Linked DNA regions of Struthio camelus. The protein of the gene in region 2 purifies or fractionates together with the protein of the main gene of each other region. This does not show direct contact. Links are inferred from orthologs where the notes say so. Each region holds a gene or a part of one and is shown on either strand. Other genes may lie near its edges. The genes, in order: ACTB, PHB1, STAU1 and CANX.

Evidence for each region.
Region 1: the proteins of PHB1 (region 2) and ACTB purify together in Homo sapiens (affinity purification with mass spectrometry; 4 studies listed by BioGRID and IntAct, with this or other methods). This does not show direct contact. The link is inferred for Struthio camelus from reciprocal best matches to the Homo sapiens genes PHB1 and ACTB.
Region 3: the proteins of PHB1 (region 2) and STAU1 purify together in Homo sapiens (affinity purification with mass spectrometry; 3 studies listed by BioGRID). This does not show direct contact. The link is inferred for Struthio camelus from reciprocal best matches to the Homo sapiens genes PHB1 and STAU1.
Region 4: the proteins of PHB1 (region 2) and CANX purify together in Homo sapiens (affinity purification with mass spectrometry; 3 studies listed by BioGRID and IntAct, with this or other methods). This does not show direct contact. The link is inferred for Struthio camelus from reciprocal best matches to the Homo sapiens genes PHB1 and CANX.

Annotation. Positions count from the first base shown.
Region 1 is NC_090956.1:4,852,720-4,859,894, reverse strand, and holds the start of ACTB (actin, cytoplasmic 1), read right to left. Parts: upstream 3,019-7,175; 5' UTR 2,839-3,018; intron 1,163-2,838; 5' UTR 1,157-1,162; coding exon 1,034-1,156; intron 689-1,033; coding exon 449-688; intron 1-448. UniProt on the Homo sapiens protein: Actin is a highly conserved protein that polymerizes to produce filaments that form cross-linked networks in the cytoplasm of cells.
Region 2 is NC_090966.1:5,145,082-5,152,145, reverse strand, and holds the start of PHB1 (prohibitin 1), read right to left. Parts: upstream 3,013-7,064; 5' UTR 2,926-3,012; exon of another isoform or gene 2,867-2,925; intron 2,467-2,866; 5' UTR 2,429-2,466; coding exon 2,341-2,428; intron 1,944-2,340; coding exon 1,782-1,943; intron 1,021-1,781; coding exon 878-1,020; intron 384-877; coding exon 267-383; intron 1-266.
Region 3 is NC_090959.1:9,433,811-9,441,171, reverse strand, and holds the start of STAU1 (double-stranded RNA-binding protein Staufen homolog 1), read right to left. Parts: upstream 3,016-7,361; 5' UTR 2,835-3,015; intron 1-2,834. UniProt on the Homo sapiens protein: Binds double-stranded RNA (regardless of the sequence) and tubulin.
Region 4 is NC_090954.1:6,908,310-6,915,219, forward strand, and holds the start of CANX (calnexin), read left to right. Parts: upstream 1-3,894; 5' UTR 3,895-3,976; exon of another isoform or gene 3,977-4,075; intron 4,076-5,753; exon of another isoform or gene 5,754-6,009; intron 6,010-6,501; exon of another isoform or gene 6,502-6,652; intron 6,653-6,910. UniProt on the Homo sapiens protein: Calcium-binding protein that interacts with newly synthesized monoglucosylated glycoproteins in the endoplasmic reticulum. It may act in assisting protein assembly and/or in the retention within the ER of unassembled protein subunits.

The DNA.
Region 1 (7,175 bases), on a different chromosome or scaffold from region 2:
GGTTTTACTCAGAAGTCCATGTCCCTAGACAAGACACTTCATCCCCTCTGGAAGGTGGTGTCAGTGCTTATATCTTGCCTAGCATCCACCCAGGCCTGCCAGGTCAGAGCCTGAGAAGACCACCACCATGTGCCCATTCAAGCATCACAGCAAGGAACAAACAAATGCTAAGTAACTACAGTAGTCACTCCAGGTTGGTAAATGGATTAGTGTCTAGTCAGAAACAGCAGTCAGACAAGTTGCTAGTTCAGTCTCAGAGAAAGCCAGCTTAGAAGAGCAAACAAAACCTGTCAAGGTCCAGCAAAGAGGAGACTCAGGTCAGGAAAGGAAAACCCTGTAAAGATGGCAAAAAGGAGAGAACAGTGGTGAAGGTGCAGAGAGGACAACAGGGAAGAGGAAAGCTGGCTGCAACAACATCTGCTCTAGCACCAAGCTCGGTTTTACATACCTGTGTCATCTTCTCTCTGTTGGCTTTGGGGTTCAGGGGAGCCTCTGTGAGCAGCACAGGGTGCTCCTCAGGGGCTACTCTCAGCTCATTGTAGAAAGTGTGGTGCCAGATCTTCTCCATGTCATCCCAGTTGGTGACAATACCATGTTCAATAGGGTACTTCAGGGTCAAGATACCTCTTTTACTCTGAGCTTCATCACCAACGTAGCTGTCTTTCTGGCCCATACCAACCATCACACCCTGCACAACAAACAAAGCAATTAAACTCAAGGGCCAGCCTGACTGGGTGGATAACCCCCTTTTTCTTTAAAAGGGCTTGACCTCTCATTATTTTTCTTCTCCTGTCCCCACTCCATCAGGAAACACCTTCAGTCAATTCCCAACACACTGCTGAACACCACAGGAGAGCTCTGCAGGATGCCATATTTCTCCTCCTCCCCCCCCCCACCCATTACTGATGCTCCACAGAAGCCAGTGCACTACACACAAATAGAAGGGCTTCTTTAAGGTTACTGCCTTTAAGGGAACTGTTTCTACAGAGAGCTCCTTTACTCTGTACAACAAAGTAGCAGCCCAGCCCCATACCTGATGTCTGGGGCGACCAACGATGGATGGGAAGACAGCACGTGGGGCATCATCCCCAGCAAAACCGGCCTTGCACATTCCGGAGCCATTGTCAACAACGAGCGCAGCAATATCATCATCCATGGCTGGCTGTGAAAGGATAGAGAGCAGGTCAGTGAGCACCGCCACTCATGCACCAGCAGCCTCTAAGGTCTCAGCAGGGGGACTCCTCCTCCAAAGCCGCAGGAGGAGAGAGAAAACCCCACGCAGCGCAGAGCCACTGGTGTCCAGGTGGCCGCCCCAGACCACACCACCAACCAAGGCCCTTCCCCACCCATTTCCTTCCTGTTTGCGCGGCACCGCTTCACCCAGCGCCCGCTAGAGGGGGCGGCGCGTTCCAGGCTCCGACACCGCACAGATTTGGGACAAAGGAAGTCCCCGCGCCCTCGCGCAGTATTACCATAAAAGGCAATGGATCGAGCGCGCCTCGCGCCGAGCCGGGCGCGCGGCACCGCGCCAGCGCTGGGAGGGGAGGCAGGCAGGCAGCCGGCTCGAGGCCCCGCCCCCTCCCCGCCCCGGCCCCGCCCTCCGCGGGCACGCCGCTCCCGAGCGCGCACACGGCAGCGCCGCCGCACCCCCTCCCCACCCCCACCGCCCCACGGCCGGCGGAGCGAGTTGCGCCGGCAGCCGCGACGCAGCCAACGCACCCGCCGCGCTCCGCCGCTCCCCGAGCCGCCGCCCCGCGGGCTCGAAGGGGGGGGGGGGGCGGGGAAGCGAGGCGACCTTCGTTTCAGCCACCTGGCCCAAAAGCCGCTGGCCGGGCGGGTGCCCCCGGTTCAGCGGCGCAGAGCGCACCGGGCATTAAGAGCCGCGGCGTTACACAACTGGCCCCCTCCCACCCCCGCCCCGGGAAGGGCGAGTTCAGCTCAGGCGCTTCTCAAAGCGCCTTTTTTTAATCCGCGGGGAGGAGGGGCCGCTGCCAACCTCCCTGCCGGCCCAGCGGGCCGGGCACGCCGGGAAGTGTAGTCCCCGACCCCAGCTAGGGCACCGCAGCTCCCCCGGGGCGGGGGGCTCTTCCCCGTCCCCCGTGTGGGTCAGGGCAACAACCTCGCCCCCGAGGGAGAGGGCGGCCGGAGCCCTCGCCCGGTAGCGCCGAAGCTCCCCCCGTGCGTCCCAGCGCCTGGATTTTGGGGGGAAGAGGACCGCACCCCCTCGGCACCGGCTCCCCCCCATGGCCTCAGAGGGCTGCGCGGAGGGGGGGCGAGGGGGAGCACAGCGCAGACAAAGCCCCTCCGCCCCATCCCCCCGCTGGGCGAGACACAATAGCCAGGCGAGACACTCTCCCCCCCCTCCCCCGGCGCAGCCACCGCCCCCGAGAAATCCTCTTAGAAGGCAGATCAGCCCCACAGCAGCCCTCTCCACAACCGGGCAGGCTCCCCGGGGTGAGGGGGAGAACAGCTGCGGCGCCCCCCTTCCCCCGCCCAAACCGGGCGGTTCCCCACCGCCGCCTCACAACAAAGGGCGCCCCGCGAACGGCCACGCCGCCAGGCGGCCCGGCCAGCGCGAGGACCGGCAGCGGAGCACCGCGCCGCCCTCATCCTCCACCCACTCCCCCCTCACGGGAGGGCAGCCCCCTCGCCACTTCAGCTCGCCGCTGGAATTGAGGCTGAATTAGAGAAAATGAAAGAGGAAAAGGATTGAAGGGGGGGGGGGGGGAAACACCACACACAACACGAGCGCGCTAGGAGGGAAGGAAAGAGGGCTGTGGAAACGCAGCGGGGAGGGCCCCCGCCCCCCTCACCCCCCCCCACGCGGGCCCCGCTCACCTTTGGGGAGTTGCACGGTCAGAGCCGGGGCGGGCGGGCGGCGCGAGGCGGGAGCAGGGCACGCGCGCACACACACGCGAGGCGGAGGCAGCTCGCAGCGACTCCCGCCCGCCGCGCGCCCCGGGTTTTATAGGGCCGGCGCCACCGCCGCCTCGCCATAAAAGGAAACTTTCGGAGCGCGCCCTCCTGATTGGCCCCCGCCGCGCCTCCCCGCCTCGCGCCGCCGCGCCTCGCGCGAGGCAGCGCCCCCCGCTCCCCCCCCCCCCCCCGCGCTCTCCCTCCTTTCCCTCACCACACATCGCGGAGGGGTGTGGGGCTGGGGGGGGGCTCGCCCCGCGTGGGCCCAGCGGAGGGAGGGCGGGCGGGGGGCGTCCGCGTTGTCCCCCCCCGGCAACACAAAGAAGCGGAGCCGGCCGGGAAAGGCCGCAGCGAGGGGCCGCCTCGGCCCCGGCCCCCCCACGCTGGGTGTCTCTGCGGGGCGGCGGGGCCCGTTGTCTGTCTGCCCAGCGCGCTGCCCGGGCGCCGGGCGAAGGGTCACGGCGATCCGGACCGGATTCCGGTGGAAAGTTAGATCTCGGGCCAAGTGCGCTGCTGGTGTCAGCAGGCGGCGGGGAAGAGCTCTCGCGACCCGCTGCGGCCGGTCCGTCCCGTGAACCTGCCGGGCGAACGCTGCCTTCCCCTTCAGAAAACCGTTAAAACACGACTATGTTTTTATGAAGGGAGAAGGCGCTGCGGACATGTCACCTGGAAGAAGGAAACGCTCCCCCGGCTCTGACTAAGGCGTTGAGTCAAGCCGAGCGGCTCGGCTGGCCGGCGAGGGATGCCTGCCCCTCTGCACGGGGGTCACTGCCTGAGCAGCGATTTGGCTGGATTTGGGCAATATTTGGTTCCCCCCCCCCCTTTGATCCAGGTGGGGCAAGGCTTGCTGGAAGGGTGTGCGGCGCGATACGTGGCTGTCCCTCTCCGGGCTGCGTTTCTGCAATCCTGTGTCTCGTTACTACGATAAGATACCAGTTCAAAATCAAGGCGAGGGCACCATCAGCAAAACAGCGGCCAGCAGCGACAGAGGGCTTTGCATCCCCAGAACACTGTACAAACATGGGCTGATTAATCAAGTTAATTAAGCAGCCCTGTAAGTAAAGTAGCAGCATCAACTTGCAATCTGTTGCCAGTGTGAAGCACACCGGCTTTAGCATAGGTGCTTTAAATATCCAGTCTAGCTGAAAGCAGTAACAACAGAAAAAGTCCCCGGGGCGGGGGAGGGGAAGCTAAAAATGCATGTTGTTCATGGGACACCTCTGGTTTGGCATCTCAGAGAGGGTCCTGAGCGGAGAGGCCCCAGGTGAGGCAGCGTGAGCAGGGAGGTGGCGCACGAGGGAGGCTGCTGCTCTCCAGCCGGCTCCCGCCTGCTCTTTGTCACCGGGGAGCCGCCGTGGGGGCTCCACCGGCGAGGACGGGTGCGGGTTAGGGCCTGGAGGACCAGGCTGCCCTCCCCAAACCGCCAGCATCCGTCCCGGCGGCGGGGTCCCTGTCCGGAGGGAGGGGGAAGCGCAGCGCTCTGTCTCCCGGTGAGCGTGGATAGCCGCACCGGTGCTCCCCGGGACAAACAAAGGAGAGAGCAGCAGGAGGAACCGTGCAAAAGCCTCTGAGATGGAGTTTTGCAATTACCTCATGTGAGGGAGGAGAGACGAGTGGAGAGCAGACACGGGGTACGGACTGGGACCGGCAGCCCCAGCCCCAGGGAGCCATCCGCGGCCTGGGCATGGCTCCGTGTTGGCTGCCTCCTCCCCGCAGAGCTGCCCCGGCTGCGCCAGCGCCGATCTGGGATCGGTGTTTCGGAGGGGACAGAGCCGGGAGGAGAGAGTCGGGAACCTGGTGACGCCCCTGGGACCCGTGCCCTCACTGCTGGAGCTGGCCATTGTCATGGGCTGCCCCAGGACCATGCCCTGTCCCCTCAACGCCGGAGATGGCCATCACCATGGGCCACACTAGGACTATGCCCTGTCCCCTCAATGCTGGAGGTGGCCATCACCATGGGCCACCCTAGGGCCGTGCCCGTCCCCTCAATGCTGGAGGTGGCCATCACCATGAGCCACCCTAGGGCCGTGCCCGTCCCCTCAATGCTGGAGGTGGCCATCACCATGGGCCACCCTAGGGCCGTGCCCGTCCCCTCAATGCTGGAGGTGGCCATCACCATGGGCCACCCTAGGGCCGTGCCCGTCCCCTCAATGCTGGAGGTGGCCATCACCATGGGCCACCCTAGGGCCGTGCCCGTCCCCTCAATGCTGGAGGTGGCCATCACCATGGGCCACCCTAGGGCCGTGCCCGTCCCCTCAATGCTGGAGGTGGCCATCGCCATGGGCTGCCCCAGAGCCATGTCCCATCCCCTCAGGCCTCGTGGGAAGTGTTCAGCCAAGAAAGATCAAGTCCAGCAAAGTGAGAGGTTTTTGTTAGGGCCGCGCAGGCAGGAGGGGCACAGGGGCTAACATGCTCTTGCTGCAGATCATTTTCTCTGCGACCTTGGCTGAATGGTGCCAGATCTCTGTATCTCAGCTTCCCTTGCAGGACAATGGGAATAATCACTGTTAATTACCTACCTCACGGGGAATTAATTAATGTTTGCACTCCACTTTGAAAAGGCTGATTATTAATTAGAAGATTATACGTCAGATAAGGGGAGCCACAAGGTATGGGTATAGCTGGTGGCTCTGGGGGCAGCAGGGATAAAACGGGGTCCCTGAATGCGCTGATGAGGGGCCTGCAGAAAACAACCACTAGCAAAAACTCCTACAAACGCATCGGGGTGATGGGTACGGGGAGGGAAATGTCAGCGGGAGGTCAGCATGGGGAGGTGGCTGTCACAGCCAGCAATCGCTTTGCTCCGTCCTGCACACAAAGGCTAATGGGAGCAGGGGCTGAGGGCCAAAAGTATGAATGAGGTGCTGTGAGGGCCAGGAAGTGGGCAGCCCTCGGGGTGAGCGGGAGGACAGGGCGCTTGGGAGCGTCTGTGTTAGCTGGACCAGGCGTGCATCCGCTGAAGCCCTTCTCTGCAGCATCCTGGTGAACAGGTAAGGCCTACCAGAGCTGGGGAACCACAGATAGGAGATAGCCCATTAAGCAGGGCGGGAGATTACCAGGCAATTAGAATCTCCTAATTATGAGAATGAATCAGAAAGCAATCAATCTGCCGACATCCGGAGCACAATAACACAGGCCCCAGGTCTCATGTCTTTTGGAGGCAGTGGGACTTTCGGCCCAATGGGGATCGCAGGATGTGAACCGCAGCAAACAGCCAGTGATCCAGGCACTGCCACTTCCTCTGAGGTTGGGACGGGCCAAGATTTGTGTGATGAGCGTAAAGGCAATTTGATAGCAAGGCCACCCACCAATTGCTGTGTTCAAGGTCTAAACAGACCATAATGCGATAGACTGAGCCAGGATCCTCTGGTCTTGCATTCAGGGCTCTCTTCTAATCTGTACCTGGGTGTGTCACGAGAACCGAAAGGAGAGAAAGAGGAACAGCGAGCAGCGAAGGTCCACAGTGATCGTCCTCTGCCATCTCGGGCCTGGCTTGTCTCCGAGTCCCTCTCAAACGCATCAGACTGGGAGAAAAGCTCATGTAGAGCCCAGCTTTTCACGCACCCACTAAAAAGTAATGGAAAAGAAGTTATGCCTCTACGTCTTAGCAGAGAGAGAAGGAAGATGGAGACAAGACTTCCAATAAGCAACCTTCAGGGTTTGAGATCTGAGCTAAGGCAATAGTCAAAACTACGTGCCGTGAAAACACAAGGCGGTCTCAGTTTCCTATTGCCAAAAACCTCAGTAGAAGTGTGTTACCCTTCAGCACACAGGGCACACGGGTCACGGTGCAGACAGCCTCTGCACAGCCAAGACCTGCCGTAACCCAGAGAGGAGAGAGCAAAAGAAAGCACAGGAAACCCCCCAAGCGGTTTTTCAGTGCCGAGGTCTGCCAAGGCTGCTCTAAAGGTCCATGAGGACAGCAACGGCCATGGAGTACCTCCTAGCGCCAGCCAACCTGAAACCAAAAGCAGACTCCAGAATTTCCCTGTTTTGCTTCACTTCTCCTTGCCTGTCCTTGGGTCTGTGCTGCAGAGCTCAGCTCACGCTGGCTCCGGACAAAACCATCTGGAGGAGGATTCCTCCTGCCCTTCGCTGGCTGATACGGTCAGGCCTGGCTCTGGGCACCGATAGTGTGCGGTCCTGCCTTTATTTCTGCTTCCTGCCCTGTACCTCCCACTCCTTCAATTTTACTTTGTCTGCTTTCATGGGACAAAATGTGAACTCTCTTTTCTGCCTGCTTCTCCCTGTGCCTGTAA
Region 2 (7,064 bases):
TTTAACTACAGAAACCTACAATAGTGAGGTCAGCAAGAAGACAGTACAGCTGAGCCTTCAAGGGCTTTCTCAAGGTCACAGAAGGCCAGTGACAAAACCTGACATACTGACTTGAGCTGTAACCACTAAATTACATGCAACTCCAGACAAATAAGCATTTCACCTACGTCTAAAATTCTGTCCCCCTTTGGCCATCCACTGGTTCTGTTCTCCGCTACTCTTATCTGCAAGAAGAGAGAGAAAACCTGAAAAGGGAGAACTCTTACCAGGGACACATCATCTAGAATGAGGCCGAAGGTCGCTGCTCTCTCCGTGAGGTCTTCACTCACTTGCCTTGAGACCAGCTCTCTCTGAGTGATCAATTCTCCAGCATCAAAGCGAGCCTGATATTAGGATGGACAAAAATGAGAACAAAGCTTCCAGAAACAATAGATTTTTCATATTCTGTTTGTCTTTGCACCTGTAAGCCCCAGAGTTAATCCAATTTATCTTCCAAAGCTAGCAAACACTAAGCTACCTGTTCACTAGAACTAGGAGAAAGAATGAATGATTGCAAATTTAAGTGTGAGCTGGAGGGGAGGTTTCCCCCAAAGGGAGAAGCTAACAGCTGAGAACGGGTAACAGAGAAACCTCTTGCTGTCCAGACTACACCCAACTTGAGCCTTAAGTCAAGGCAAGCCGTCAGAACGGCAAAGAAACAAACAGCATAACTACAATTATCAGCTTTTCTGGATAACCCTTTGGAGCCTGGAGAGTGGAAAGAGAAGCTTTAGTCTGGAGTATTAGATATTCCACATGCTAGCAGGTATCTCACTGCAAAAAAAACAAGGACAGAAAGGTGACAGGCAGAGCCCAGCAGCTGTCGTGCTGTCCTTACCACAACAGACTTCAGGATTTCAGTTGTGATTGAAGGCAGGACACGCTCATCATAGTCTTCTCCAATACTTGTGAAAATTCGGGGTAACTGGGCGGTCACTGGTCTAAACAAGATACGCAACGTGATGTTCACGTTCTGTAGATCTGGGGGCAGAGCGGGGGGGGGGGGGGAGGGAGAGAGAGAAGCACAAGTTTAGTGGCAAACTGTGGGGACAAGAGATGTCCTGAAGTTGGCCTTTCCAGGGTAACTAAATGGGAAAGACCACACCCTCAGGCTTCTCTTTGCCGGCAGAGACAAGTTATTTTTACTGTCCCTTTCACCTAGGGATCTAGATCCTTCTTAAAAAGATAAGACTGAAGTTTCAGTTTGCTTCTGATGCAGGGAATTATTTGCCCTCCTGCAGAGGCAGAGATTTTGCATTTAAACGGACAACCTACTAAAACCCTGCAACAAGAAGTTGCTTAATCTGTTCTGTAACTAAAAAGACAGATCAATGACTCTGTGCCAGACTGGACTCAGCACACATAGGACCACCATGTCCAGAAGACAGAACCCTTACTCAGTGATTTTCTGTAAGGTTAAAAGATCACAGAAGTCACGACCATAGTAAAACTTCTTCTCGTGCCCCATCCACCCAACTGCTAACTACAAAGAAATCCAAAAGCAACATCAGAATAAGACACAGGATATAACGAGAGCGCTTGGATCACAGTCTTGCACGATATTCAGATGCACTGCTCTCTCCTCAGGGCTGATAAGCTGCTGAGCATCTTCTCTCTGCCACCTGAGGCAGAGGGAAAGAACACCTCTGAGGCAAAGAACTCAATGTCACGCAGGTCGCTACAGTGGGCACACACTCAGAGTGACACTACTCTGTTACAGTCGCCTGGTCGAGAACACTTACCTTTGCTGCCAGTGATCACGGGAATGTTACGTGGGCGAGATCGACAGTCAAAAATGATCGGTTTCTGTACCCAAGGGATGAGGAAGTGGGTACCTTCTCCTACCACCGTATCCTGGACTCCACGGAATCGGTCAAAGATAACAGCTCTGTGGCCCGCATCAACTAGAATGAAACAGCATGGTTTCACTGTTGTACTTGCACACCATCAGAACATTCTCCATGACAGATATCAACAGTCTGTCAGGATTAATTAAGGCCTTTTGCTGCAGGAGAGTGGTGAAATTAAGTAGATTGCTAGTAGCAACAAAGCAAAAGAGACAACTCAGCCACGACTCGACCTCTCGGCCTGCTTTCAAGGAGAGCATCTCATTGACAGTTTCTAGTGAAGGGACTCCGCAATCCTCTTGCCTACCCAATGCAGAAGGTCAGTATAAACCAGCACAGCAGAGTCTCATGCCTATTTTCCCCTGATGCCACTAATAATAAAGGCACAGAGCAATAAAGACATGGATAAAAAGGATATAAAATGAACGGGAAACACTCTCCCTCTCCCACTCACCATTGTAAAGAGCAGAGTTGACAACTCCACCTGCGACAGCTAACCCCAGGCCAAACTTCCCGATGCTTTCAAACAACTTCGCGGCCATTTCTCACGTCCAGTTCTAGCCCCTTTAGCGAGTCCCTCCTGCAAAAACCCCACAAGCTTGTTAAAAGTGCATGAAGCGAGGAGCCCAGGCAACTCTGTGTCTGCACCTACAGAGCCGAGGATTAACTCCCCCCTCCAAAAAAATCCAACCTGCACCCCCGACCCGACCCCCCCCCCTCCGGGCCTCCCTGCACCCCCAGCCCCCTTACCTCCCGGATCCCTCCCCCCCAGCCCCCCTGCACCCTCCCTGGATCCCTCCCCACAGAGCTTCCCCCACCCCCTCCAGGCCTTCCGCCCCCGGGACAGGCGCCCCTTGGGCCGAGGCCCCCTCACACACCCGCAGGCCGCCGCTCGGCCCCTTCGCACGCCCCACCGCGCCCGCGCCCCGGCCCCGGCCCCGGCCCCGGCCCCGGCCCCGGCCCCGGCCCCGGCGACCCACCGCGCCCGGCCCGGCCCCGGCCCGGCCCAGCCCGCTCTCCCTCCCGCAGCGCCCCTGACCTCCACATGAAGCCGCGGCCACCTGACCCGCCGCGCCTGCGCGTCGCGCCAAGACGTCCGCTTCTCATTGGCCCGCTCCGGACCTCGGCATTCTGGGAAGTGTAGTTTTCGCCGCCCCCGCTCCCGGGAGGCCGTGCGGGAAGGCCTACAACTCCCGGCGAGCCCCGCTCCGCCTCGCTGGCTGTGTAAAGCCGCTCTCCATTGGCCCCGGCGCTCCCGCCGTGCGCAAGGCGTTCTGGGAGCTGTAGTCCTGGCCGGGGTAGAGGGGGCGCACGTCGGGGCTGGCGCATGGGGGAACCGGGGTGGGGGGGAAGGGGGATCCCGGCATCCCGCCACCGGCTCAGGCAGCCCCAGGGCAGCTGCCGCCCCCCGGCTCGGCTGCGCCCCCCCCCCCACCCCGGCCCTTTGTGGGCAGACCCCTGCCATACGCTCAGTCCGCTGGAGCGGGAGAGGCCGGGCAGCCGCCAGCGTCCAGCCCGGGCTCCCCACGGACGGGGCGGGGGTGCCGGAGCGGGGGGACAGAGGCGCCTTGCGGCCGAGGCGGGAGCCGGGGGCCGCTAGAGGGAAGCAGCGCTCTGCCATCGGCTCCGCCAACCGGGCTGAGGGGGGGGGAAAAAGAGAGGGGACCCCCCCCACCCCCCCCCCGCTTCCCAGGCAGACCCCAAAACAGCCGCCTTCCCCCGCCTGGAAACCCCCGGCCGGTTTCGCCTTTAACGCGACGCCGCTGAGCACGGGGGACTTCGTTACCCCCGGCGGGCGCCGGCGGGCACGGCCGCACCCGGGAGAGAAAACCGCTGCTTAAACCCCGCTTTCTCCCCGACGCCCTGCGGGAGCGGCGGGTCACCCCGGGGTGGCGGGGGGCGGACGGGACGTGAGGATGGCCCCGGCGCTGCGACGGCCGCTTTCCGCCGACGGACGGGGCCCGGCTTTGCCCGGCACGGCCGCGGCAGCGAGCTCGCAAACCCGGCCGGCACGGCTCTTTTGTGCCTCGACAGCCCTGGGAAGCGGAAAGCCAGGAGGAAGAGGAAGAGGCGAAGGTGTCTGGGGACCCGGCAATTTTGGACCCCATCCAAAATGATTTGGGAGCCAGATCCCGGCACCCCTCTTCCCTAGGTGCCGTAAGGCTGAATTTTGGCTGCTCCTAACCCGCTCTTGGCTGCATGCCTCCCTCGAGGAATAAATCCCGGGAGCATCCGCCTCTGCCTGCGCCACGGGAACAACGTCCGCCGGGGCCGGGGCCGGCTCGGGTGCCTCTTCCGCCGGCGCGTCCCCGAAGGACGAAGCTGCCCCAGGAGGCGTCTCTCCGCTTGCAGCTAATCCCGTAACAACATCCTAATTGGTGATAAAGCCACGGCTATAAACACCCAGGGATTTACACCCTTCCCGCGTAAGATTCGCACACGGGGCACGGTCGCTACGGCAGGGCTGCGCGGACGCGGCGGCCGGAGGTCTGCAGCCCTCCCGGCTCAGCCCCTCTTCCGCACCGCGCGGCCGCCGGCGCGGGCCCGTTCGTTGCCGCCGTTTGTGCAGCTTCGGCCCCTGTCCCGCGCCGCGGGAAACTGTCTCGGCCCCTCTCCCGCGCCGACGCGCAGCGCCCGCCGCTCTCCTCCCACCGCCGCTGGGGCGGGAGCCGGTGACACCCGCCAGGGAGAGGGTTTTGGGAGCCCTTGTGCTTTCTGCGCTGCCCGGGCCGGGGCGGTGGGAGAAAAAAGGGCCTTTTGTGCAGGGAATATCCCGAGGGTGATTCAGCCAGGCCTGACGCTGGCGGGGCCCGCTGACACATCGCTTTGTGGCCGGGCAGGGGGGGCCGCGGCTCGTCCCCGGGCGCCGACACCGTCCCCGGCTCCAGGCAGGGGACGCAGCCGGCGGGGAGGGGGGGGGTCGCCCCGCCGGGGTGGCAGGGGCAGGTTGAGCGGAGGAAAATCAACCCCACGACAGCCCCGGCCGGAGCCGCAGGCTCAGGCGGAAGCGCGTTTCGAGCTGCGCCGGCTCGGCCTCGAGACGAGGAGCGAAACTAGTGTGTTTTCGCCCGAGGACGGAGGTGGGCGCCCAGTGATGGAGCAGGGCGAACGGAGCTGGAGCGGTGGGGGACGACACCTTCCTCGCCGCCGTCCCCGGAGCTCAGCCGCGTGCTTTGCCGCCCCGCGGGAGGCTGCTCCCCCAGGACCCTTGATCCTGGCTCAGAAGAAAAAGGAAATTTGGGTGGTGGGTGGTGGCGGGGGACCGTTAAGTGCCAATTCCTGCCCGGGGACGTGGAATCGCGGCGGGCCGGAGCAGTAGGGTGGCATCACCCCTTGTCGCTCCCAAACCGGGGCGCAGAAGCGACGCGCGAGCCCCACAAAAACCCTTCACGACGGCCCTTCGGCCAGCTCGAAGCTGCTTTTCCGGGAGCAGACGGTGCTGAGAAAACGAATCCCCCCCCCGGCGCTTTCCGGCCGGGAGCGACCACACGAATCCCGGGCAGGTTTTCATCTTCGCCTCGATCACAGCTTGTTTCCCCCGTCTCCTCCTGCCTCTCCAAAAGACCCCTTGAAAAAGCAGCGGCCGGCCGCGCTCCGGGCGCTCACAATGGGATTTCAGAGCGCCGGGGCCGGCCGCGTTTCGGAGCCGACATTCCTCCACGAGACAAAAACCCTCGGCGGACCCAAGCGCCGGCCTCGGCGGCAAGAAGCGGCTCTTTGTCCTGGGGCGGTGAGGCCGGGGCCGGGCAGCCGGCGCTCGCTCCGGCCGCGGCGGCCAGCGCCGCGAACAAAAAGCCTCCTTTTCTCCAGCCCTCCCAAATCCGGCGTCGCGGGGCTGGCGCTGCCCTGAGCGCACCCGGGAAAAATTTATGGCATGGCATTTGCCAACCGGGGAGAATCGGAGCGACCCCGGCGCTGCGCTTCCCGGCCGCTCCGCTATGCAGACGGGCATTGAGCTGCCGGCGCGTCCCAGCCGCCGCGCTCCCCAAAAACGGCTGTTTGACTCGGCGTCCTGCCGACGTCCAGCTCTGGCCCCATCCGTCCGACGAACCCCTTTGGCCGCTATTTTCCCGAGTGGCTTCCTGCGGCCGGGCAGCGAGAGCGGCGTAACCAGCTGCTGCGCGCGGCTGCCGCGTGAGCATCGCCGCCGAAAGGCTGGTGAGGGTCGGGCTCGACCCGCGCGGGCCGGGAACCCGCGGAGCAGAGAGCGCGTATGCGTTTTCGCTTGGCCGGAAAAGCTTCTTTCCTTCCTCGTTCAGCTTTGCAGGAATAGCGCGTTCCCGGCGCAGGCTGCCTTTCAGCATACATCTGTTCCGAAACGGGCGTCAAGCGGACGACGTGCTTTTCACAGAAATGCCGTTTTCCCCACCTAAAAACCGTGCGTGGTTTGCACAGCAAATCTGCATCTCTCGGCAGAGCGAGAGCATCCTCGCGGCCCCCCCGCAGGACCCGGGCTGGCTCCTCCGTCGCCGCACGGCCGCCGGCCGCGCCGGGAAACGGCTCCCACCTCCGCCGGCCGCTCGGGGACCGAGCCCGAACTGGCCGCGTAAACCGGTTCATCCGAACAAGCGCTGAAATCAAATTAGTTAAACTACGTTAAAGCCCTGCGAGGACACGGTGCAGAGCGCAAACGGCCTTAATGTGATTTCGGCTGGCTTCGCGGCCACAATTTGCAAGTCAGAGAAATCGAATTAAGGCCGCTTGCGTTCTCGGCTGTGTCCACACAGGGCCTTAATGCGGTTTAATTAATCTGCTTTAAAATTGCGCCTGTCTTTCATTTGGGCCAATTTACCCGGCTCGCCCTGGATAACGGAGCCCCCCCGCCGGGCCAAGAGCCATTAGCCCTGGGGCAGATTTGGGGTACGGCCCCAGGCTGGAAGGTGCTGGGGTCCGCGATGCTGAGCCCCAGCCGTGGGCTTGCTGCCACCCTGAGCGGCTCCCGTGCCCCGCGCTGGGGTCCTGTGCCCCGCACCGGGGTCCTGCACTGGGGTCCTGCACTGGGGTCCTGCGCTCCGTGCTGGGGTCCTGCACCAGGGGCCTGTGCCCCACACCGGGGTCCTGCGCCCCTCACCGGGGTCCTGCACACCATGCTGGGGTCCTGCACCAAGGTCCTGTGCCCCGTGCTGGGGTCCTGCACCCCATGCTGGGGTCCTGCATCGGGGTCCTGCGCCCCTTGTG
Region 3 (7,361 bases), on a different chromosome or scaffold from region 2:
GACTAAACTTAGCACTAATTTCTTTCTGAAACTGGATACTTCACAATATATTGCATCTGAATAGTTGCTGACCCTTCAGTTACACAGCAAACACGACTAATTTTTCCTCATCAACAACTAACTCTGTTCATAAAGCAGGAAATTCCATTTACCCCTATTTCACATACACTCTAAATACTCACATTAACGGTAGCCTTATAATATATGACACAAAACTCTGAAACATTTACTTCTGCAACAGTGTTTAAAAACAATATCTAACTATTTATAATTGAATAACTTAAATAAAAAGGCACTACCAATTTTGCAGGCTTAAGGTTATTTATACAAAACATAAAACACGCTGGCTGAGTAACACTTTCTTTTTAGAAATCTTTTTCTATGATATTCAGGCAAGGCTTTGACTAGTGAAGGTACAACTCAAAGGCAGCATTCACTGAATAAAAGGATGAGGCTCAAAATTCATGCAGTTCATAATCTGCATGTTGCTTATTGAGTATAGGGAAGATGAATTTCCAAGGGCAGAAAACATTAAATATTAAGCAAATCAGTCAAGGAGCTAAGATATGGATCATTAACAAGAGAACAGGTGATGAAAAGCTAAAGTTTTCAGGTAAAATGTGAGGGAGAAAAGGGAACTAGCAGATGTGCATATAAACCAGGCAGTTCCAAACATGATGCAAAAGAATAAATCAGAAAGCAGTGAGACAATCATGAATAAAGACAAGTGGTTAGAGGCTTACATCTAGTTGAATTAATTAAATACTTTGCGATAGTACTAATATTTTTATTTTTATGAACTAGAACAGGTCTAAAAGTAAAGATACTGACTTGTTAAAATTATCTGACTACAGTTAACATACATAATTGATGCACATATCTTCTCTACTGTTCCTGTCATGTCTTCAAAAAAATCCAATAAAATAAACAAGCCTCTGATAAGAGTCCAGACTAAGCAATCGAAAGAATGTTTTGAAAAGTTTGTATATCCTCAGAATAAAGCTGCTGTTTTTCAGTGGGATCTGAGAGGCAGAGCACAGTTTTCAGTTTTGTTTTGGCCCTGTATAGTTAGAGTAAGACAATATCACAAATTAACTTCAATATATGAATATTTTAATTTTGACAAAAAATACTTTGACTGACTGGTGCTGAAAACAGACAGTCAAAAATAAGTAGTGATAAACATCATGAAAGATTTCGTACAAACAAGGAGTGGAACTTTAATGGAATTCTTCCTTGCATACATCGCATAAAAAGATTTTATAATGAAATTCTGATCCAAAAGTAGAAATGGAATATATGGCAAAGAACTCAACCCATCTACTCTTAAACTTTCACTTAGATAGGGCAGACATCCAGTTGATGTACAATAGTTAATATCTCTGCGATAGTTTGCACATACACATTTGTTGCCTATACAAGATGATCGATATATAATTGGAGATTACTTTACAACTTCATGGTCAGAGCTGCATCGTTAAAACCCAAGGTTTGATGTTCATTAGTATTAAAAAAAATGCATCTCTGCCAGTATGATCGGGCAATAACATAGTGAACTAGTTAGAAGGCAGATTTTATAAATATACTATCCCAAAAGTAGACAAAAGGCGGTCACTTCTGTTCAGATATTTCACTATGTTGCTGTATGAGATGTAAAGAGCAGAGTTTCCAGTTTTCCTCTGATCCTTTATAGTTAAACCTAGCCACCTTTCCCATGTTCCTCCTAGGTTTGCCTTAAACCAGACAGAAAAACAAAGATAAAAAAAATCCCAACACACAGACAAATCAGAAAACCGGCTGTCAACATTACTAGCTACAGCATTACCTAGGTAGACAGCTCCAATCAATCAAGCCCTGTATAACCCGCAGGACAGACAGATACAGCACAAACATTCAAAAGAAACCTGTTGCTGTCACATCTCCCCAAAAACTTAGCACCACGGGCAAAAGACAGAGGGGGAAAAACAAGCCAGCCTGTGACAGCCACGGCTGCCAAACCTCGCAGGGGGGAAGGAGAGAGTCTGCGGGCGCCGGTGCTCAGGCAGAGACGATGCTGCTAACGCCTGCAGCCTCGGTGTTTGCAGCATGACCTGCGCAGGAGGGAGGCTGTGGGACTCCGCGGCCGCCCCCGCCTCGAGCGCCGCAGCTGCCCCCTTTTGCCAGGGACGACAGACTGGTCTAGCTCCGACTACGGAGTTTTGCTGCCGCAACCGTTTGCCCCAGAGACTCTGAAGGAGCCTGTTACTGCTGTCACCTGCTCGGGGGGAGGAGGACGCCTGCAGGCACCGCTCCAGGGGGGCCGGGGAGCCCGGCAGAGCCGGGCCACCGCCCGCCCGGCCCCGGGGGCGGCCAGCGCGCCGCCAACGCTGTCACGGGCCGGCCGGCCGGGGGGTGCCGCCGGCCGCGCACCGCCGCCAGCCCCGTCCCGCGGCGCTCGGCGGAGCCCGCTCCCGCCGCCGCTTCTCCCGCGCGGGTCGGCGGGGCCCCCCGCGCCCCCGGAGCGCCGCTGCGGCCGCCGGGGCAGGGAGGGCTGCGGCGCCGGGGGCCGCGCTGCCGCCGCCGCCCGCTCCGCCGGGCAGGCCCGGCCCGCTCGGCGCCCCCCGCGCGGGCGCTGCCCCGAGCCGGCCCCCACGGGCGGCGGGGGCCGCCGCGCCGCCGGGAGCGGGGCAGGGCAGCGCCGCGCGCGGGCGGGCGGGCGGGCGGGGGGCGCGGGGCGCGGGCGCGGCGCGGCCCGTCCCGCCGCGGGGCCGCCCCCTGCCCTGGGCGCCGCCGGCGCGGCCCCCGCTAGGCCCCGCCGCCTCGGCGCCGGGGCAGCGGCGTCGCCTCGCCCTCACCTGGCTGCCTGGGCTGCGGCTCCCGGGCCGGCTGGTGCTGCGGGCCAGCGGGCGGCTCAGTCCATGGGCCGGGTCCCGGCGGGCCGGGGGGGGCGAGTCGCGGCGGCGGCGGAGGGAGGCGGCGGGCACAGGGCAAACACTAAAGAGAATGAGCGGGGCCAGCTCCGGCCGGGGAGGAAGTGACGGCACCGCGCCGGGAGGACGGAGTGGGAGGAGGAGCGGCCCAGTAGCCAATCGGAGACAGCCGAGCCCCCGCGGGCGACGCCTCCCGCCGCCCTCTCGGCCAATGAGCTCGCGGACCGGCTCGGAGCACCGCCTTCTTCGAGAGGACTACAACCCCCGGCGTGCATCGCGGCCGGCCTCGGGACGGAGGAGACTACACGTCCCGGCGTGCCCCGCGCTGGCCGGGCTTTCGTGCCCGGCCAAGATGGAGGCGCCGGAGGGAAGGAGCGGGGCTGGGCGGCTCCTCCGGGCGCTCTCGGCCGCCTCCTTGGCGGGCTCGGCTCCCTCCGCGCGGACCGGGGAGCCCCTTTGCGGGAGCGGTCAACGTTGTGCCCGCTGCGGCCATGCACCGGCACCGGCAGGTCTTTCCCCCAGCCCTTTAGTGCTTCGCGCTTCGTTTCTATTTTAAAATAAAGGCAAGAAGTGTATTTAAAATATCCCTTTTCAGCTTGCAGTATTGTATTTCACTGGCAATGGGAATCTGAACGAAAAGCCCCGCGCGTACTTGGCCCCCTCGGGGAAGCCTGGTCTGCCAGGCAAAAGAAAAATCGAGGCTGAAGGCACCAACACCGCTGCTGCCTTCCCATTGACTATTAGCGTGAAGGTATTTTCGCATAAGGGGTTAATAGAGAATGCCAGCCCGCGCAACTGTGAAAGATTATTTAAACAAACAAAAAAAACCCTCGCATTTCAAAGCGTGGGTGGGAAGGAAAAGCCGTGCTGAACCTAAGAAGATGCACAAGTGCAGGCTGTAAGTACAGGCAAAAAGCTCTGAGCAGCTATTGCCCAGGAAGAACCCCACACCCGGGGTGTTCGGTTGTACCCAACTGCCATCGTTCAGTCCAGCAGCTAACTGTGGTACTTTCCCGTTCAAGCACTACGCTTGAACCTGGAGAGCGTATGTAAAACGCATAACAAGCTAAACCTATTTGTTTAATTTTTATGCACAGCTTTAATCTACCCTGATCTTCACTAATCTCTTTGCAGCTATGTCCCCCTCTTCCCCCCCTCAACACTGCCGATAATTAACTGCCACTAACTTAACCTTGGCTCTCAGTTACTTTGTGATTGCTCGCTCTTGAAATCACTACCTGGAGTAAATTCACATGTGTTAGTTTAAGCCAAAAAGAAGATAGGTACCTATCTGTTTCACATTAGGAACGCAAAAATTCCAACATGCTGCTATTGAAGCCTGTGTTTTCTAGTAATTTTAGATTTGTCATATAAATTAAGCCATTAAATGCTGTTACGTTCCTTCAGATACAATCAATCCCTAGCTAGTGAAAGAGTGAAAACTACAGTAACAGCCATGTAGCTGACCAGTTAACCTCCGACATCGCGGGTTTCCCTTCCTGAGTCACTGTAGCAATCAAAATGCCCTACAAGATTTAAACAAACATTATCATTAGGCTTAAATATTTTAAAGAGAACATTTTCCTAACCCGTATGATTTTAAAGCAGTAGGCCTGTTCTTGTTATAACAAGTATGCACTACCAAAAAAGCTAGCAAAAATGCAATACAGTATCAAACAGTCCCCAGTCCTGCTAGAATAAGTCAATCCATGCTGTTAGAAAAAGATACTATGAGAGCTTTTTGTTTTAGAAATAATTTATCTCTCTTCATAGGTAAAAATACATTTTAAGTTACAAGGCTGCATTTAAACCCCGTGGCACCATTAAATTGCAAATCAGTAATTTCTGCCTCTGTTCAGTGAATAAAACGTGGCATCCAGCCCACCCCATCTATTAACCATGTAGCGTAATTCTACAGCAAATGCGAAGGCCTTCATATTTAGCGGGGAAGATCACAAGTACAAACATTTCAGCAAAAACTAATTAGAAATAAAAAACATTATACCTAAAGTTCCATATCCATCCATGTCTTTAATACTGGTATGGATGTCAAAGACACCATAAAGAAAATACATCATACACTTAAAATAATTGACAATATAGCATTTAAAAGACATTCTCCAGTATATAAGCATATATATATAACCCATATCACATTTAAACACCTCTTCATATGTTCTTGTGGTCTGTTGCATAATAATATGTGCTGTTAGATGCTTTAATTATGCCAAGCCAGCAACAGTTATATTTCAGAAGGAAACGAAACTTCAACTGTTGTATAATCATTACTGCAAGGCTTAATGATGTCTAAAAAAGAAACAGCATTTGTGCATTTTGTAGATTTTTAGGTGGAGATAGGGAAATACAAAGCTAGATTTTTTCAGACTGAATTATATTAAAAATTCAATGTTATGGGGTTTTTTTCCAGAAAATTGTAAGCACTGGGGTAGGAGCAGAACCTGCATAATTGGACCAAAAAGTATCTGCAGCCAGATTACAAAGTTGAATGTAGTTTAAAGCAAATATACATGTAATTCAAAAGTCTGAGGAACACTTGGCAGAACATCTCAAATACCCAACACATTTGTTCTTTCTTTTGAAGGATGAGATTTTTACTCCCCTAGTATGCATATGATTTTTACTTTTAAAAAATGTTACAAAAGACTTCCACTCTTCTTTATGCAGCAGTTAAACAAAGCTTTAGAGAGGGACAAAGAGACAGAGAAGGACAGAGACCTATTTCTAGCTAATAATTTGCAAAATATTTGATACTTTTGTTTTCTTGCATGAAAATTTTAAGGAAACAATACTGTAATTACAATATTTTCAGATGTTCATGTAGAAATCTGATACTTGTAATGCATATATTTAAATACTTCAAAATATCCCTTATATCAGGCACAAAACCAGATTTTTTTTTTTAATCAGGAAGATAAATATATGAACTAGCTTTGCTAAAACCCCTTTCATTCTGCTTTCCTGACATGTTACTCATGTGTAACAAAATATCTCTGTCACTTTCTATTCTTTTTAAGATTTATTACTTTAATAAAGTATTTACTCCTATATTATATGATCTCATCTTGAATACAATACAGTGAGTCTAGCACAAGCGCTGACCTCACATGAATTAGAAAATTATTATTTTGAGAGAAAAATTTTAGACGTTTAGTCACTCTGCAACCAGACGTCAACCTAAGTCACAGGGCTTTTATGTACTGGCTGGCACCCACTATTTTAGCCAGTATACCCCAGTATACATCTCAAATTGCCTCTAAATTAGATTAATGGTGATAATGACTTCATTTGATTATTAAAGGTAGAAAGCTAAGGGGGGGAAAAAAGCATTTATCCTGCCTTTATATACATGTTTAAATTTTCATAGAGAAGTCATGTCTAGAGCATATCTTCATTTCAGTTAACATTCTCAGTTTCAAAGGCAAATACCTGAAACACAGTTAGGGGAAAACATCTTTGCAATACTTCTCCTGAGGGCTGAAAGAACATGCATAACTCCTCTCCCAGTTTTTTTTTTTGTTGAAAGAATCAGCAAAAGAGATAGCAGGTTTAAAACAAGATACTATTCTTTCTATGAAGGAAAGATAAAGAGTTGTTTTAAGACAATAATCAAGGCATCCAAACATCCAGAGTTTTGGGACAAGGCAACAGACAAGCCATTTTATAGCACAGCGTACAGCTGTTTCCAAACTAGCTTTACATGAGCTACAGGAAGCAGTCTGGCAGAGGCAGTGTCAGGTGAGACAATTTACTCCACCCAAAGTAAAAGGATGCCTAAATCATGCTGCTACAACTACACCATTTCTAGTAGCCAAACCCACGTCAGCATATGCATGCTGTGCTGCAGGAAACATCTCTGTTCTTCAGAAGTTTCATCAAAACGTTTTCAAATTCATTTCCCAGCATTTTAGCAGCACTTTTGACAGCTTAAACTACATGCTCTTTAGACAGATGAAGGGAAGATCACCAAGTGGATAGACCTTTTCTGTGTAAGAACAAGAAGTGAACTTCAGCAGAAGGTGAAGAATTGGAGACAAATAGATTGCTGTGAAAAACTTTGAGCTGAAATCTCTCACGATGCAAACGGTTACCTTGTCCTGGCGAAAGACAGTATAAAGACCTGCTCTGACAGCTTTAAGGTGGCCTATCCTTCCTTCCCGGCTCTCAGGAAGACTGTTTTCATTTAAAGGTTATGGAACGAGCAGCAAAGTGTATGGAAGAAGCAGAGAAGTACAGTCTGTAGGAAGGTACCTTTAAGCAAGCTGTTGAGAGCCTGAAGAAAACCAAGTTTGTTGAAAGAGAGAAGCAGCAGAGAGAAGGAATATGCTCTGTTCCTCATCAGAGGATTTCAAAATGAAGCATCTGACTCACTGAGGGGATAAGTCTCATCTTAGCATGTATTTGGATGAGGAAACAAAGAACTAGAACTTCACT
Region 4 (6,910 bases), on a different chromosome or scaffold from region 2:
CCTCTCTGGGTCATGGTTCCCAGTGGAGTGATCTTGCTGTCCTTTGCAATACAAAGCTTGAGAGTCACTGGTGCTCTTAGGCCACTAAGGCAATAGTCTGTGATTACCGCGGGCAGTTTGCAGCTCTACCTGGCTGAGGTAGAGTGCCATGTTTGCATCTAAAGGGTATGCTGCATTTCCCCAGTGAGGGAACAACAAAACACAGCTCTCAAGCCACCAAAAGACACCTGAAGTCGAACTCTTGCTGCATGTGTAGCAGCTATGGTCAGATAAAAATGCCGTTAAGTTAGGTGTCACACCCTCAGGGAGGACACAGTTCTGGGGACGTCTGAAGGACACTCTCAAGCAGATCTAGCTCTGGTCTATGAAAGAACTGGTGGAAAGGGGCACAGTTGGAACCAAACTGTGCCTAAAAACCTGGCGCAATGCCCACGCAAGCTGTAAAAGCTGTGATACAACCTAAGGAAACCATCAGGATTGCCATATCCTATGTCCAGACCGGACTTGCACCTCTTGTCTTTTCTTGGATACTTCTGAGCTTCTGGGTACCAGAAGTTTTTTGTAAAGTTCCTATTCCCAGGGGCATTTCCTAGCCTCTTCTGCACTTATGATATCAGATGGGTTGCTTATCTTCTTCCACTTCCTTACTGTATTTCCCTGTCTCCCTCCATCCATCTGCCAGTGCTCTGACTCTGGTTCGCTGCTGCTTCTCTTTGCTACTTACTCTCCTACCTTTATTACAATTAATTAAAAACATTTACTTACATTCACTTTTCTTACCTTTGAAAATGACAGGATTTTATTTTTTTGTTTTAGACATTTAGGCCCCCTCTGTTTTGATAACGTCAGTGAATCTTACCCTGCTCTTTTCTCGGAAGGGGTTCCCTCCAGATATCTCATTGTAAAGAAATGCGTTTTCCGTGGAAAGCGTACCAGAGCGCATGGACGTTGCCCTGTATAGGGACGTGGGCTTGTCTTCCCTCCTGCAGTTCAAAGTTTGAAAGAGCAAAAGTCAGCATTCTCCTGCTGGTCATCTGCATTTACTGCCTGCTCTCTGTCAGTGTAGTGTCACTAATGTCCTGCTACTTCTGGCTTGCTTTATTTTCCACTCGCTACTTGCCAGTTTTCCAAAGGAGACTGATATCTGAAAAGATCATCTACTAATGCTTGAAGCGCAAAGAGAACTCGAGCTGTGTGGCAACGCATTACAGAGACTTAAGAACAGAAAGTACCTGCTGAAAATGGGGGAGGCTTCTCTACCTGATGAACAGTCAGGGCAAGAAAAGTACCCCTATAGGGCAGCTGTTCAAAGCCATCATTCACTCGTAAACCGAGGACTGCCTTTCACCTCTGAGACCGACGTACCCGGAACGGGGAGTCTAAACGTCAGGCTTTTCTAGCTTAGCCGCACGGCCCGTTTTATGTCTTTCAGAATTTACTTCCAAAATGAGAGAACAGCACGCTCCCCATGAGTGTATCAGTGGATCTAAACAAATCTCTTGTGGTCAAGCCTGCACACACCTAAATGGTTTTCTTCAACAACGTCGTGTTTGCTGTGTGGTCTCTGCCATCCCTCTTTCCTTCATCGCCCCTGTCCCTGGCATTGCACAAACTGGGCTAAAAATACCATGTTCTCAGCTGCCAAAGCACTTAAACCTCTGTGCATGCTTCTTCTCTTCTCTTTCTCCCTCTTTTTTTTTCCCCCAGATTATCTATCTGTCTTGTGTTGACTGTGTATAAAATCACAGTGTAGGATGTACTTTTAGCAGCTTACGTGTTTTTTAACTTAGAGCTATTCTCTCCACGCCATGACAAAGCAGAACAGGCAGGAATGGGTTGCAGGGCCTCCTGCCTGCCCCATGATTCAGCAGGTTGTAAAAGGAAGCGGTGCCGTCTTTTTTGGGAGAGGGTGGCGGGAGAGAGAAAGGGGAGGCATGTGTGACGGGCGTGTGGGGGTATATCTGACTTCCTGGTGCTTGAGCTGATCAGAGCAACAGCCTAGCATGGTGTTATCCTGCAAGTCACAGTTAAGTAACTCACAGGCATGAATAACCTGTTTCAAAAGAGGGATATTTGAAGGATATTTGGTGGGAAGTTGGATTTTGCCTAGACTGGGGAGGGAGCTTGCTAAATTATACGTCTTTGTTACCCTTTAAAGTATTCCTCTGTGGTGTTTTTAGTTTGCTATTTTAAGGTGCTTGGTATCTCACATGCTGTTACGTTGTTTGTGGCTGCTTCTCTGCTTGTCTGCCTTGCATCTTCTGTGCAGGTTCTGGGTGTCAGTCAGTCTACAGGGAGGTTTAGGAGCCAGGTTAGTGGCTTTCCAGAAAAATGTGAGCGTTTAATTCCAAACTTCAGTGTAAACAGGGATTTGCTGAGTTCGTTTATGCTGAGCCTTATTTCTAAACGCTGGGTCCCTGCTTGCTTTGTCCTAACGTGGTGGAAATTTCTCTGTGGGGAGACTTATGTTGCTGACTCATTGTGTCAACTCAAAACAGATTTATGTTTACAAAAAAAATCCCTCTTCTTTCTTTCTCCTTCCCACCCCTCTTAGCAATATTGAATTTGGTATTCTTACAGAATACCTAGTATCTGCTGGAACAGGCTGTAGTCCGCAGGCCATACATGAGCTTGCTTTAAACCGGGGAGTTTAGATTACAGCTTTCCATTTAACTGTACTCATGTGAAACAGTTTAGATATACCTTAAAGTGGTATTACTGATAGGATAGCATGAGTCTGCTTTCCTCATCTTAGGTCCTTGTTCATCCCTATCTTACACCGCCATGGGTACGGGGAGCAGGAGGCAAGGGAACTCTTGAACGTTCCTCTTGTTCTCTCAGTTACTTGCAAACCGGTTACCCGCCTCATGCCTTCCCTTCCTATTCCAAACAATTGGGACAGAATTTCCTCATTTCCCTGGGCTTCTAGAGTCATTGAGACATACAGATGTTTAGCATTTACACGGCATTTCACTTATACAGAAACAGATTGTCAATTTAGGCAACACAGCATTGCTTAAAACTTCTGGTATTACGCAAGGCCTTCACAGAGGAGGCTGCCTGAAAGGTACTTCATGTTTTAAATAGGTTGGAGTATATGTTACATTTAGTGGTTTTCTTAAAACCGCAGCTTGCAATTGAGCAAAAAAAAATAGACACTTTTTAAAACAGAAAACCCTAGTCAGTATAGTACAAAGAATAAACTTTAAAAGCCCTGCCAAGAGGTTAAAGAAATAGAAGACAAAGATGAAACCGGTGTTTAATTTGATGGAGCCCGAGCACCGGGACAGGCAGCGGCCCAGGGCCTCCCCGCAGGGACGCAGCACGGGGCTCTGCGGTGAGGCGCCCCGGCAGGCCCGGCTGTACCAGCAGACACAGCGCTCCTCCGCGGCGAGGGTTGAGCCAAACCCCGCGGGCGAGGGGAGCGTTTTGGGCCGGGGAGGCGGCAAGGCGAGAACCCTGCTCAGCCCCCTGCCCTGCTGCCCCGGGCCAGGCAGTCCCTGCGGCACGGGGCCGTGGCCAGGACCCACGGCGGAGGAGGTGCGAGGGAGCGGGCTACGACTGGCAGAGCCGGGCCTGGGCGACGGCGGACGCTCTCGGACGCCTTTCTCCCACCTCCCCCGCCATTGCCCTTTTAAGCCCCGCAGCGCCCAGGGACAAGGAATCCGTTGGGTCTCCACCCACATATCAACGGCCTCCCTACAGCTAGCCAATCGCTGCGCACTTCCTGCAACCCGGCCGACCAATAAAAGCGCTCCACGAGGGGAAGCGCCGTTGGGGCGTGTTTTGAGGCGGGCGGACCGCTGAGCGGCGGCGCCCTCAGCCAATCGGAGAGCTGGACGGGCGGTGGGGCGGGCGGGCGGGCGCGCTGCCGGGCAATGGGGGAGCCGGGGCGGGGCGCGGCGGGGGCGGGGCTGGCGCGCGGTAGATAGGCGGGCGGCGGCGGCGGCGCTGAGCCCGCAGGCACGTGACGGAGGTGAAGGCAGAGGAGGGGACGGGAGGTCCGCGGGAGAGGCCGGGGGCGCGCGGGGCTGCGGCGGTTGGCGCTGTCGGGGGGCGCGCGTGGCGCGGTGAGGTGAGTGCGAGCTCGCGCCTCGCGGGCTGCCCTCCCCTTCCCCCCCCCCCTCGCCCTTCCCGCTAGAGACGGGGCAGCTCCGTGACTGGGGGGGGGGGGGGAAGGGGAGAGCGGGCCCGCTCGCGGGGCATGCCGGGGTATTGGCGGGGTGTGGGGAAGCCGGGCCGCCCTGAGGGAGGTGGCGGGGCAGGCAGAGCCCGCCTTGGTGGGGGGAGGGGGATGCTGGGCCTAGGATGTAGTAGGCGGCGGGGGGGCCTGCGGTGGGGCCGGGGGGGGCAGCCGGGGACCCCGAGAGCCGAAGCGGGGGCGCTGGGGGAGCCCGTGCGGCTCGGGGTGGGCTCTGGGTGGCTGCAGGCCGCGGGCAGGCCTGGCTGGGAGCAGCGGGTCTTCTGGTAGCTTCTGGGCTGGGAGGCGGGTAGGGGCTGGGCAGGGCCTGTGGCACGGCCGCAGCCGGGCAGCGGTGATGTGACTCTTCGCTGCTCCCCTACCGGGGGGGGGGGGGACGACGACGTACAGAGGCATGGTTTGGAAGAGGGAGTAAGGAGGGGGGGGTGGAGATGGATGGGCTGGCATGTGGTTTGGGTTTTATCTAGCTTGTGGCGTTAATGTCGGCAATGACAAGAGGGAAATAGTCTTCAACTACCTGGAAATGCCAAAACGCTGAGGTTAAATAGGTGGCTCTGCAGCGCTGGGGGTGGGGGTCGGTATAGACCATAGTGTGTGGCATGATTCGTGCTGGGGGAGAGGAAGTAGAAGCCTCTGGAAAGGGGGAGATGAAGGTGAAGAACTAGAGGCCCAAAAAGTGGCAAAGGCATGGTAGGTGCAAAGGCGTGAGTGAGGCCAAAGGTGAACTACAGAAGAGAAGACTTTTTAACAGCAAAGACTGAAGATTTTGAGGGTTTGAAATGCATACTTTGGCTTAGCTGCTGAATATTGTTTCTGTGTTGGGTGTGTAGCGTGCATGACTGAGGTCTTAGTTCTTGTTTATCACTCAGATTGTGTACTTTCAAAAAAAAAAACCCCTCACCTTTGAATTAAAGTGAGTGTCGTCTACTGCTTTCTTGTCTGTCCTGCTTCTAAAGAATGAACTTTCATATTTGGCTTTGTGTTTGAGAACTTTCTAGGCTATAGAACGAGAGAGGCTGCAGGTGACTTGATTGTGGAGGGAACCAGCTATGTAAATAGGGGAAGTATAACAGAGTATAAGACAATACGGTAAATAAGATATGTTACTCAATCTAGACACTGCAACTGAAATGACTTCAGAGACTCCTTTCCAAAGCCTACTGTTGGTTTGGTCATGCTACATAAGTTTATCCAAAATAGTAAACAAAACTAGAAGCAACTGGAAGAACCTTTGAGTTAAATGTAGTGTTTGCCCTAAGTTTCAATATTTCTAGTTCAAAAAAAATCCAGAAAGATGAGGAGTTATGAAGGGAATGCTAATATGCTACACATCCTACATTACGAGCCGAGTACAAGATGTACATTGTTTCTTGGCATCTAATGCCTTCCTAAGAAGGGAAACCTAATGCAGAGTACTAAGAAAGCTTACCACTTCCGTTAAAGTACCCTTTTATTTGATGTGTCCCAGCACTTCCTCTAAATAAATGAATAAATCCTTTACTAAGACTACATTAAAACTTGTATTTAGTCCTTCCTTTTGCTTCATTACTAGGGGCAGAAAAATTAAAGGTGAGAAAAGGATCATGACCATACCCTGTTCTCTCTGGAATTCATTCTGTTGCAGAGCAAACGTGAATTCATTCCTAGGCATGACAGTCTGAAAAGTCTTGAGGCATCTCCAGATCTCCCCCCACCTACCATAATTCCCCTAACAGCCCATCTGTTTTATGGTCCAAAAACCTTGCAGTTCTGTCTCTGTCCTCCAAGGACTTCCAGTTCTGCATGAATGATCTGCTTGCTGACAAAGGGTACGTGGTATTTTCTCCTTTACTATGTCTGCGCTGATGTATGTTATTTTTAGAAACTGACATGTTTGAAGTGCTTATTAAAATAAGCATTGTTGCTGTCACCTTTCATAGCTAATCTCTTACCTGGTTTATGCTCCTTACAATCCAAACAGAAGGCAGTTATTTCTGTGGAGCTATCCTTCTCTGTAGCAGAAGGTTTAGGTAATCCTCTCTAGGAGGAGACTATCATAAAGTCTTATGTAGCAGTGTATCTTAACCACCCCCTCCTGAAAAAGGACCCCTCACACAGCGCTCCAGCCTCTGGCTTGTTATAAGCAAGGCAGTTTTAGTTTAGCCTTGTTTGTTCACTGAGTTGCCATGTTAAAGGCAAAACCTTCCCAACTCTGAAAATGTCTGACTGCAGAGCTAAGCGTTTAAGGGAAAATATTTGTCTTGTCTGCATCATATGAGTTGCTGCATATATGAACATAATTTTTATTATGTCCCCGCTAGAGGAGCGGACAGGTAACTTACTGGTTTCTGGAGTGGTGGAACTTGGCCACAAAATTGGTTGTTTGGCTTGGCTGGAAATCTCCCAAGTCTGCCTGAAGACAGCTGTGTCTTTGAGAAGTGAAGAAGATAGAAATGCATGTGAACTACAACAGTAAGCTGACAGTGCTCCCAAGAGCTTAGTTTCCTTTATCCATGGCTGCTTACTATCTTAGTGCCATCGCTTGTCCTGCTACAACTCTTTGTACCTTTGTATGCTGGTTTGGACTAGGAGATTGATTGAGAGTTTAAAGTCACACAGCAGGAAAAACTTGTAACTGTCCTAAAACAGGTATTAGTCCACTATGTGGCTGTGTAAACAGTTACCCTGGCACAGCTGAGTGGCCAGGTTGTGCACAGTGAAGGGTGAGGG